Regions from separate parts of the Mus musculus genome. Here region 2 is reported to be linked to region 1. The links are microRNA targets in miRTarBase. Many come from high-throughput screens and were not tested one by one. Region 1 holds a microRNA gene; the other region holds the end of a gene's coding sequence.
The links. The annotated mature microRNA mmu-miR-3065-5p reads UCAACAAAAUCACUGAUGCUGG and lies in region 1 at 2,220-2,241, opposite strand. An mRNA with a match to its seed (bases 2 to 7 or 8) in the 3' UTR can be bound and repressed. Matches are read on the target gene's strand: a 7mer-m8 pairs with bases 2 to 8, a 7mer-A1 pairs with bases 2 to 7 and ends in A, and an 8mer does both.

Region 1 (5,070 bases):
GGAGACTTGAGGTCCATAGCTCTGCTGACAGCAGCCACCCCAGAGCCTAAGAGACACTGGCCCTCGATGACAGCGCTCAAACCTGGCCTCCACTTTATTGAAGCTTCTTTGGCTGGGGAGCTTGGGAAAGCTCTCTGGGCTCTGGAGAGCGTGGTCGGGAAGATGGAGAGGGAGCGGTGGCTAAGCTGTGTCTGGATTTCTGTTCCACTCTAGTGCAACTTCTCAAGTCCACGGACCTGGGCCGGCACAGCCTCCTGTACTTAAAGGAGATTGGCCACGGCTGGTTTGGGAAGGTAAGCATGCCCCGGGGTGGCAGGAATGGCAAAGGGTGGACCCACTACTCCTGGGGATCCCCTAGGGAGGGGCTCTTTCTAACACCCGCCCCAGACTGGACCATGTACCTGATTCCTTTTTCCTCATTGTAGTCCCCAGGCAGTGAGAAAAGTAGGAGCCTTGTGGGTGGACTGGGGCTGAGGGTTCTAGCCAGAGCTTGGTGAGAAGTTGTATGACCATCTGAGGCCCTGGGCGCTAGATGGCTTTTCCTATGGAGACTGAAAGGGGACCTGGTGATGCCTGTCACATTTGGCAGGTGTTTTTGGGGGAGGTACACTCGGGCGTCAGTGGCACGCAGGTGGTGGTGAAGGAGCTGAAGGTGAGCGCCAGCGTGCAGGAGCAGATGCAGTTCCTGGAGGAGGCGCAGCCCTACAGGTGGGTGGTGTGGCGGGGGCGGGGTGGGGCCGGGCAGGGGAGCAGCACAGTGGGAGAAACTGAGGGCTATGGGACACCCTCTCCTGCCCTCCAACTTAAACACCCGTGGACTCTTCCAGGGCCCTGCAGCACAGCAACCTGCTCCAGTGCCTGGCCCAGTGTGCTGAAGTGACCCCCTACCTGCTGGTTATGGAGTTCTGTCCACTGGTAAGTGGTCCTCTCGGGGAGGTAGCTCTGTCTCTCCCGGTCCTGTTCTGTAGCTCATTGTTCCAAAGGGGAGTGGCTCCTCTCTTGCTCAGCCTCTTGGGGTCTTTTGTTATTTCTAAAGTAGAGTCCTGGTAGTCCTTGCTCTCCCTCAGAGGAGGTCTGCGGAGAGAAAGTGAGCCAGCAGCAGCAGGGGCAACACTGTGGGGTCTTGGATAGTTCAGCGAGAGGTGTCCTGGGACAGCCACAGGGCTCCCGAAGCTCCTGGGGCAGAGCCTGAGTTCTGGGTCTTCGTGTTGCCCCTTGGGCCCTTTACATGCACAGCTCTGGTGGCTGCTTATATGGAGGTCACTGTGCCAGAATTGAGACACAGGCTTTGCTGAAACAGCAGTGAACACTAGGGTTCACAGCTGATCCACAGGCCACCAGACCCAGGTTCTCTTGGTGTGGGTGGCAGACTTGTGATGGGCTGGTCGCTGCAGCTAGCAGGTGACTGTGTGCTCTCTCGTCCATCAGGGGGACCTCAAAGGTTATCTACGGAGCTGCCGGGTGACAGAGTCCATGGCGCCTGACCCACTTACCTTGCAGCGCATGGCGTGCGAGGTGGCGTGTGGCGTCTTGCATCTACATCGACACAACTATGTACACAGGTGAGGGCTAGCGAGACTAGCCAGGCTACAGCTACAAAGCCCCACTCCCCCAGGGCCTTAACCCTCACCATCACACGACCCTGTGCAGAAAAGTCACGGTGATCCCACGTTGTGGGCCTCATGAACTGGGTTCATCTAAAAATAGCCACTCTGCAGGGAACTTTATCATTCTTAGAACTGGGAAAACTAACTGGGCATGGTGGCTCACGCCTTTAATTGCAGCGCTTGGGAGGCAGAGGTAGGAGAATCTCTGTGAGTTCAAGTCCTGCTAGGTCTACCTAATGAACTCCAGAATAGCCAGGACTATGTAGCAGGACCATCTCAAAATGAAATAAATTGTGAAGACTTGGCATTTGAAACTCACCTTGCAGACAGTTAAATGAAGAAACCCATCCTGTCTACTAGAGCAGTCAGCCATACTTGGGCTCCATACCAACCCCAGCCTCTTTCCCTCAGGCCACAAAGGGAGTGGCTGGGCTGGCCCTGTAGTGGGAGGGGTGGCTCTCTCCTGCCTCTGGTGGCCAGGATGCCCAGCCTCCCATGAGCTGGGGGCACATGCTGGAAGAAGTGGCAACGGACAAGCGGCCCACCAGCTCCAACGCTGCACAGGCCGTCCTCCCCAACAATATCCTGGTGCTGAGTGGGTGCACAGTGACTCCAGCATCAGTGATTTTGTTGAAGAGGGCAGCTGCCAGCCTCCTGCCCTGCCTGCTGCCTAGCCCAGCTGCCCCACCCATAGGCATGGACCCAGGTCACCCCACCCTGTCCCCTGACACAGTCCTCCTGGGGTAGAGGCAGGCCAAGGTGGCCCCATCTACATCCAGAGATCTCTCAGCAGAACAGCCAGTATGGCAGATGAGGGTGCGTCCCGTGGCACTCTATTGTCCTGTACCCCAAACACCTGGGGGTGGGGCGCTATAGCCAAGCAAGAGTTATACAGAGCCTGGCATTCCAGGCTTCCCACTGAGTTGGTGATTTTTATCCTCCACACAAAGGGGCCTTTGTGGTCCATACTGTTCTAGACCTCGGCTCCAGCTTGTGTAGCAGGCCAGGCAGGGCTGCACTCTAGAACATGGGCTCTGACTGCTGGCAGGACCCTCTGAGACACTCCGGGCTTCGGTTTCTCCATCAGTTCTTACCTCCTGGGGACTGGGATGGTGGAGTGTAGTCGGAAGGGTGAGGGTCCTGAGAGGACACTGCAGACTCTCTGCTCCATGGCTTGTTGGCCCTTGTTGGGCAGATCAGACAGAGGGTGGAGCGGGTTAGGGCTCTGGTGCAGTTAGACAGCACTTTGCTGGGGGGGGGGGGTCGTCCTTGAGCATCTTTTGCCTGATTTTCACATGCATTGAAGTGCATTGAAAACCGGGCTTGGTGGCGCAAGCCTTTAATCCCAGCACTTGGGAGGCAGAGTCAGGAGGATTTCTGAGTTCGAGGCCAGCCTGGTCTACAAAATGAGTTCCAGGACAGCCAGGGCTACACAGAGAAACCCTGTCTGGAAAAAAAAGAAAAAAAAGAAGAAGAAGAAGTATTAGAAATGCATTGAAGTCCACACAGGTCTTCCAAAATAGCCAGTACAGGGTGTGGAGCCAGAACTTGGGCACAAGTGGGTGGCCCCTCAGACACCCCTTCCTGTCGGTCTGCCTGGCTGTGCCCGGGAGCCCAACCATTCCACCAGGGCTCACTCAGGCTGGCACACTCTGCTGACATTGCCTTCCACTCCGCAGTGACCTGGCCCTGAGGAACTGCCTGCTTACGGCTGACCTGACAGTGAAGGTTGGTGATTATGGCCTGTCGCATTGCAAATACAGGGTGAGTAAGGCCGTCAGGGCCCGTGTGCAGGGGCAGCTGCTGAGCGGAGCTCACTCCCATCCTGTCCCTGCGTGCTACAGGAAGACTATCTCGTGACCGCTGACCAGCTGTGGGTGCCGCTGCGCTGGATCGCGCCAGAGCTGGTGGACGAGGTTCACGGCAACCTGCTGGTGGTGGACCAGACCAAGAGCAGCAACGTGTGGTGAGCGCAGGCAGGGCTGCCGGGAGGGCCTTGGGATGCCGCCTCCCCAGATGGCGCTGGCGTCAGCTATTCTAGTGGGGATGCTGCCTTTCAGTTCTGCCCCCTGCTCCAGCATTTTGACTTCCTTCTCTGGCTAGGATTAGGGCTGCCACACAGGGAAAGTGTACTCATGCCTGCCACCTTGTGGCCATGAGAGGCACTTTACAGGCTACTTCGTTGATGATGGGTTCCTGAGGTTCCTATACTGGTGTGTGTGTGTGTGTGTGTGTGTGTGTGTGTGTGTGTGTGTGTGTAGGGGGGACTGCCTTGACAGTCAAGGGTATGGGGCCTTCAGGATAGGACCAACTGACACCCCCCCAATACTGGCACCATATTTTGGTTAAAAATCATCCTGAGATGCTGTTGAAGGCCACTTGTCCTTAAGGGATACAGGATTCTGCCTTGCATCTGTGCCTCTAGAGAGGGGCGGCTGTGGCGTAGTGAGGTCCAGTCCCAGAGAGGCTGACATGATGACAGGTGTTCAGGGATTCTGTGCAGTCATGCTCAGCCACGTGTCACTGTGGTTGCTCCCGCAGGTCCCTGGGTGTGACCATCTGGGAGCTTTTCGAGTTGGGTGCGCAGCCGTACCCCCAGCACTCGGACGGGCAGGTGCTGGCTTACGCCGTCCGGGAGCAGCAGCTTAAGTTGCCCAAGCCCCAGCTGCAGCTGGCTCTATCTGATCGATGGTGAGGACCCCACCCCCCTGGGCAGGCAGGCCAGAGGGGCACAGGGGGCTGAGCCCTACAGCCTGGGGCTGCTCGGTCCACCTCTACAGGGCTTCTGGGTCTCTGCAGCCTGAACTACCCTAATTCAGGGCCCTTCCCAGGCCTCTGGGCCTGCCTTGGGAGATTGCCTTGACTGCCCCTAGTGTTCCCAGGGTACTCTGAGCATGGGGGAACGGACTGTCCCCGGAGGGCAGGTTATACTCCGGCCAGCGTGCCTCTGGATATGGCCAGGGCCACCCATGAGGGCCTCCCGGCAGGTACGAGGTGATGCAGTTCTGCTGGCTGCAGCCAGAGCAGAGGCCCACAGCTGAAGAGGTTCATCTACTGCTGTCCTACTTGTGTGCTAAGGGCACCACAGAATTGGAGGAGGAGTTTGAGCGGCGCTGGCGCTCCCTGCGGCCCGGGGGCAGCACGGGCCTGGGCTCGGGTTCTGCAGCCCCAGCAGCTGCCACCGCCGCCTCCGCGGAGCTCACCGCTGCCTCGTCTTTCCCGCTGCTGGAGCGGTTCACCAGCGACGGCTTTCACGTGGACAGTGATGACGTGCTGACGGTCACGGAGACAAGCCACGGCCTCAACTTTGAATACAAGTGGGAGGCTGGCTGTGGCGCTGAGGAGTACCCACCCTCGGGGGCTGCATCAAGCCCAGGCTCGGCAGCGCGCCTGCAGGAGTTGTGCGCGCCTGACAGTTCACCGCCGGGTGTGGTGCCAGTCCTCAGTGCCCACAGCCCCTCAG
Region 2 (5,064 bases), not on the chromosome of region 1:
CTTCTTGAGTGTTGGGCAAACAGCACTCTGTCTTTCTGACTAAGGATGTGTGAAAGCTCACGCGTGAAGACACCCAGGTTAAGGCTCCAGTTTTAGCTCCATGTGAACTCCTTTGAGAACAGACACTTTCCAGTCTGCCGAGTTCCTGCTTTCAGCAGCAGGAGTCTAAGGTGCTTTCCAGGTTAGGTCTGTTGGTTTAAGGAAGCACATGTGATACAGAGTGGGAAAGGAAGAAGGCTGAGACAGCTGCTCCTTATCCCGTGGCCCAGGCACTGCCTACAGGCACGGTCTCCCTCTGCTCCCTGCTCTCATACTCGGATCCAGGAGACGGCTTCGTTCTCTTCTCCCTGCTTATTTCTTTAGGAGGTGCCCATTATAAATGGGTAGATTCACATCCACATCTCTACCTTGGCCTCGGATGGCGACCATGCCCTCTCCCGCATCTCACCATACACATGGCAGTTCAGTTATCCTGAGGGTCCTCACAGCCTTTGGGGAAGTAGTGGACTAATCTGGAAGTCTGTCTGTTGACGTGTAGTCTTCTTTCTCTAGAACAACATGAAAAAGGAGGGAAAAGCTCACACCCCTGAGCACTTCAGTGGCAAAGAAGATGGAGCATCTGTGTCTGGAGCGCCCAGTTCCTCCTCCCTCTTGGCCAGAATGCGAGCAAGAAACCACATGATTTTGCCGGAGCGCTTAGAGAGTGACAGTGAACATCTTGCTGAGGCTGCTGCCGTGCCTCCCTGCGGCACCGAACACGACGACCTTCTGGTGGACATGAGGAACTTCATTGCTTTCCAGGCCCAGGTGGATGGCCAGGCCAGCACTCAGGAAATCCTGCAGGAGTTTGAGTCCAAGCTGTCCGTGGCACAGTCCTGTGTCTTCCGAGAACTGCTGAGAAATCTGTGCAATTTCCATAGAACTCCTGGTGGGGAAGGGATTTGGAAGCTGAAGCCAGAATACTGCTAACAGTGATGCTCTCTAAACTCTTTCAGATGGAAAGCTTGGCTCCCCGAGCCTGTGATTAGTGTTCGTGGGGTGTGTGTGTGTGTGTGTGTGTGTGTGTGCGCGCGCGCGCGCGCGCGTGTGCATGAGTGACTGTACTTGGTATTTACTATGTCATCTACCTCAAGACTAAAACTTGAAGAAGAAAATAATTGGAGGGTTTTTGTTTTGTTTGTTTGGTGGCACTGTGAATTAAGTTATAAAACCAGGGACCTAACAGTTGTTTAATGGAGCAAATACGTTACTTAACCCAAAAGATGTTGTCAGGGAGCACACAGTATTTAAGAATACATCTCGGTTCTTCTTACTGGTGCTGGGCATATGTCTTCTCTTTATCCACCCCATCTTATAAGTCACTTCACAGTATCCGATAATCTTGGTACCTTGATACAGCATGGGTTTTCTGACCCACTGGTTACATACAGAAAGACACTTGCTATCTGTCAAATCATTAATTACATATAAATAATTCTTCATAGCACTTTTAGATTAGCAGGCTTGGGTTTTGTTGTTTGTTTGTTTGTTTGTTTTAAATGTTGCTGAAGACAGACTCTGGTGCCTTGCACATGCTCAGTATGTGCTTTACCACCAAGTTCCTTCCCAGTTCATACATACGTGTCAAAGTAGGAAGTCTGGTTTTTCTTCTCTGTCATCATTATCTAAAGATGGCGGATGGGGTTTGTTTAAATAGGTCAGTCAGTTCTAAACTTTAGTACTTGGCTCAGAAGGAAGTCACAACACCCGTTCGTTTATTTATTTTTTGTTCCAGTGATCAGCCTACAGGAAATGCTATTGCCCTTGTCCTTAGGCTGACTACCAACCTGACTCACTAACATGAAACATTTGTGCTGTGCCTGTGATGTCTGAGATCTAAGTTATACTGAGCTAGAGAATGTCGTATAGACACTTTTTTTGTTTTTTTTTTTCGAGACAGGGTTTCTCTGTATAGTCCAGGCTGTCCTGGAACTCACTTTGTAGACCAGGCTGGCCTCAAACTCAGAAATCCGCCTGCCTCTGCCTCCCGAGTGCTGGGACTAAAGGCGTGCGCCACCACGCCCGGCTGTATAGACAGTCTTTAACTGTCGAAAGTTACCTACCACGCGGTCAGGAAGGGATCCGTGTTCCACCTCTGCCACTGACCTGCCCAGCCTGGGAAGGTTGAATCTGTAAACATGGTTATCCAGCCAAGCTGGGAGAAGCTTAGAGACCAGTTCTCCAGGTTAAAGTACTTTTTAACAATACACACCTTTATACATTGAGCTGCAATCTGATTTCTTTGAACTTTAAATACTTTGTGCGGTATAAATAGATTTAATGTATTAAACATATTAAATAATTACAAATAAAAGATTTAAAAATACTGGTTTTTCCTGTATTGTCACTGTTAGAAATCCTTCAAGCACTCCTGCCTCCCTATCCTGTGCATTCCAGAGCTCTGTGCAGTTGCCCAGGCATTGGCATGGCTCCTGGCATGGGTTACTCCTCCTCTGTGTTTCCCCTGGACTCATGACTGCCCAGCTGAAAATTGTTTCTCAGCCTCCCTGCAGGTGTGGCCCCATGACAGTTCCAGGCAGTGAGATGGAAGACTTCTAGCTTGAAGCTTACACAGAGGCATGGTGTGCATGCCCCTGAAAGTTCCCTGGCTTGCTGGTCAGGATGTCTGTGAGAGCCTCAGGCGTCTCCTGGCATTTCAGGAGAGGGTGGATGGTCTACTAGTCAAGAACAGCTATCTTTGACCAGATACTTTGGAGTGAAATAAATGAAGTGTTATTTAATACTGTTTTAACATCTAATTGGTGTAATGTATGTAACACACTAATGCTGTAAGTTTCCTGTGTATCTCACGTTCGCACTATGCAGGTCTTTTCACTTATGTACCTCTGCTTTCGCTGACCTGCTGATCTCCAAACCCATCACAGGCTCACTTTCCTCAGGCTTGCCCACAGCAACTAGTTTCCATCTTGGTACATTGTTTTAAAATTAGTCTTGTTTCATAAAATAACCTTACTTTAATTTGAATTTCCCTGATTTAACACCAGACAGAATACCATATTCACCTAGTTTCCTCAGTATAAATGAAAGACAGTTATGAAAGAGGCAAGAACAAAAAGCCATTCTGGGCTAGTCCATCATCCGCCACCACTCCAAATGCCAGCTTCGACTCATCGTAGTGCACTGCAAGGCTGACGTCAGACCCCGTGTCTGTCTGTTCCCTCACACTCTGCACGCTGACGTTTGTCACCTGTGGGAAAGTCCATTTTCCTTTTTATCTCGTCCTCTGTGTCTTATTTTTGTGCATTTCCTGTTCCAAGCAAATGATAGAATTAGCTTATTAGATTCCACTGAAGTGTTGCTCTTTTGGCCGGGATTGCATTAGTTTGCCCATTAATTGGAAGATAATAGACTTCTTTATAATTAATATAATTTTCCCATTAGTATTATGAGAGGCCTAATTTTATTGCTTGGGTAACATTCCTCATAAGGGTTCAGTTTTATATTAGCTTCGTTCTAGATGTTTTACAGAATTTTTGTTTAGGATTTTAAAGGATCTTTTACTTTCACATAAAAAAAAAAGTGGAGATGCTTGACTCATTCCTGTGTCACCTCTGTGTTGCTTATCACTGGAAGCGTTTACATTCAAAGCTGCTACATTCAGTTTTTTAATATCCTATGGTCATGATGCAATCTTGTGAATGGCCTTGTTAGTTACAATGTGGTTTGGATGGGAAGTGTCCCACCTGTAGACTCACGTCTTTGAACATGTGGTTCCTAGCTCATGATGCCCTTTTGGACCTCCTGATGGCTGCTATGACAGACTGTGTCACCTGTAATGTGAGCCAAAAATGAACCCTTCTTTCCTTAGGTTCTTTTGTCTGGGTATTTTGTCAGCAATAAGGTAAATGACTAAATGTAATTATACAGAAATAGATATTTTCCTAACATTTGAAAACTGTAGATCATTCTCTCCTTCCTGATTTATACATTTATAAAGCCACCAATCCACCATTATGTCCCATGTCCATATAATCATGGAAATGTGCCTGAACTCTATATTTTGTTAACTTTGTCCATTCATCTTTACCAATAAACCATTTTTAATCATGTAGGTTTCTAATTGACTGTCAAAAATTGTAGAGCAACTCTTGGATCTTTGTTATATCTTGGATATATTAGATCATCTTGTCACATTGGGATTTTGTGACTACAATGAATGAGCAGACTTGTTGAGGATTATTTATGATGCTGGGTCCCGTGCATCTCTGAATAAGCCATAGCTATGTATTTTTATTACATGTTTATAAAGAAATAATTGTGCTATATCTCGCATTTTGTAATAGACAACTTACGTATGCATAGATAGAAAATGTGTATCATGCAAGCAATTCTATCAAATCTTGGTGAGAACAGTGAGTCTGATGTACAACTTACGCTTAGTCCCAACCTTGATTTTGTACCTGTAGTAAAGGACACCTTCTGAAAACCCACGTGTTCTCATTTATACAGGCTCGTCTCCTGCTTCTCTCTACGTTGGCTTTGCTAACTGATGTTATATGTATCATCTAGCAACTTTGCTGAACTTGCACTCTGATCTGTAAATTGTCCTATAATACTTGGATCAGCTGTAATAGTAACGATTGTGTTTCACGTGTTCCAATATGCACACGCTCTGATACGGAGTAGAAATGATTACAGGTGGCATAGTACTTCGCCATCTCTCTTTCCTGCCATCGAGGAGAAGCTCTAACACCTACAGTTGCTGTTTCCTAATAGATGGCTTAGTTGGGTTAAGGGAATATTCTTTCCAGTTTTAAATCCACTGCTGGATTTCATTAAATGTTTCTCCTGCTTTTATCGACAGTTTTCCTCTTTAATACCCTTCCCTAGTTTGGTGAAGTACACAGTCAAATCTTTCAACATCAAAACTTCTCTTAAGCTTCTACCAGTTTGCAGGTGAGGCAGGGATGATGTACAGATTCATTAGCCAAAAGTCAACACTGACGGGAAACCGGAAGAGAAGTCCCTCCCAAACAAAGCCACGTGTCTTTGGAAACTGTCTTT

Region 2: miRTarBase lists Ercc6 as a target of mmu-miR-3065-5p. Seed matches in the 3' UTR shown: 7mer-m8 at 1,510-1,516 and 7mer-A1 at 4,227-4,233.

The regions. Positions count from the first base shown.
Region 1 is chr11:120,011,951-120,017,020 of GRCm38, reverse strand. Mir3065 (microRNA 3065) reads right to left here and starts at 2,254; the gene lies at 2,168-2,254. It overlaps Aatk (apoptosis-associated tyrosine kinase), which reads left to right. Exons shown (of 14, transcript NM_001198785.1): 4 at 214-293; 5 at 590-708; 6 at 828-915; 7 at 1,429-1,562; 8 at 3,287-3,371; 9 at 3,452-3,573; 10 at 4,149-4,298; 11 at 4,595-5,070. Mir338 (microRNA 338) reads left to right here and starts at 2,159; the gene lies at 2,159-2,256.
Region 2 is chr14:32,576,134-32,581,197 of GRCm38, forward strand. Ercc6 (excision repair cross-complementing rodent repair deficiency, complementation group 6) reads left to right here. Exons shown (of 21, transcript NM_001081221.2): 21 at 553-4,857. The coding sequence ends at 969. Among named protein-coding and RNA genes, the nearest start is that of Prrxl1, 21 kb to the right of the region's middle.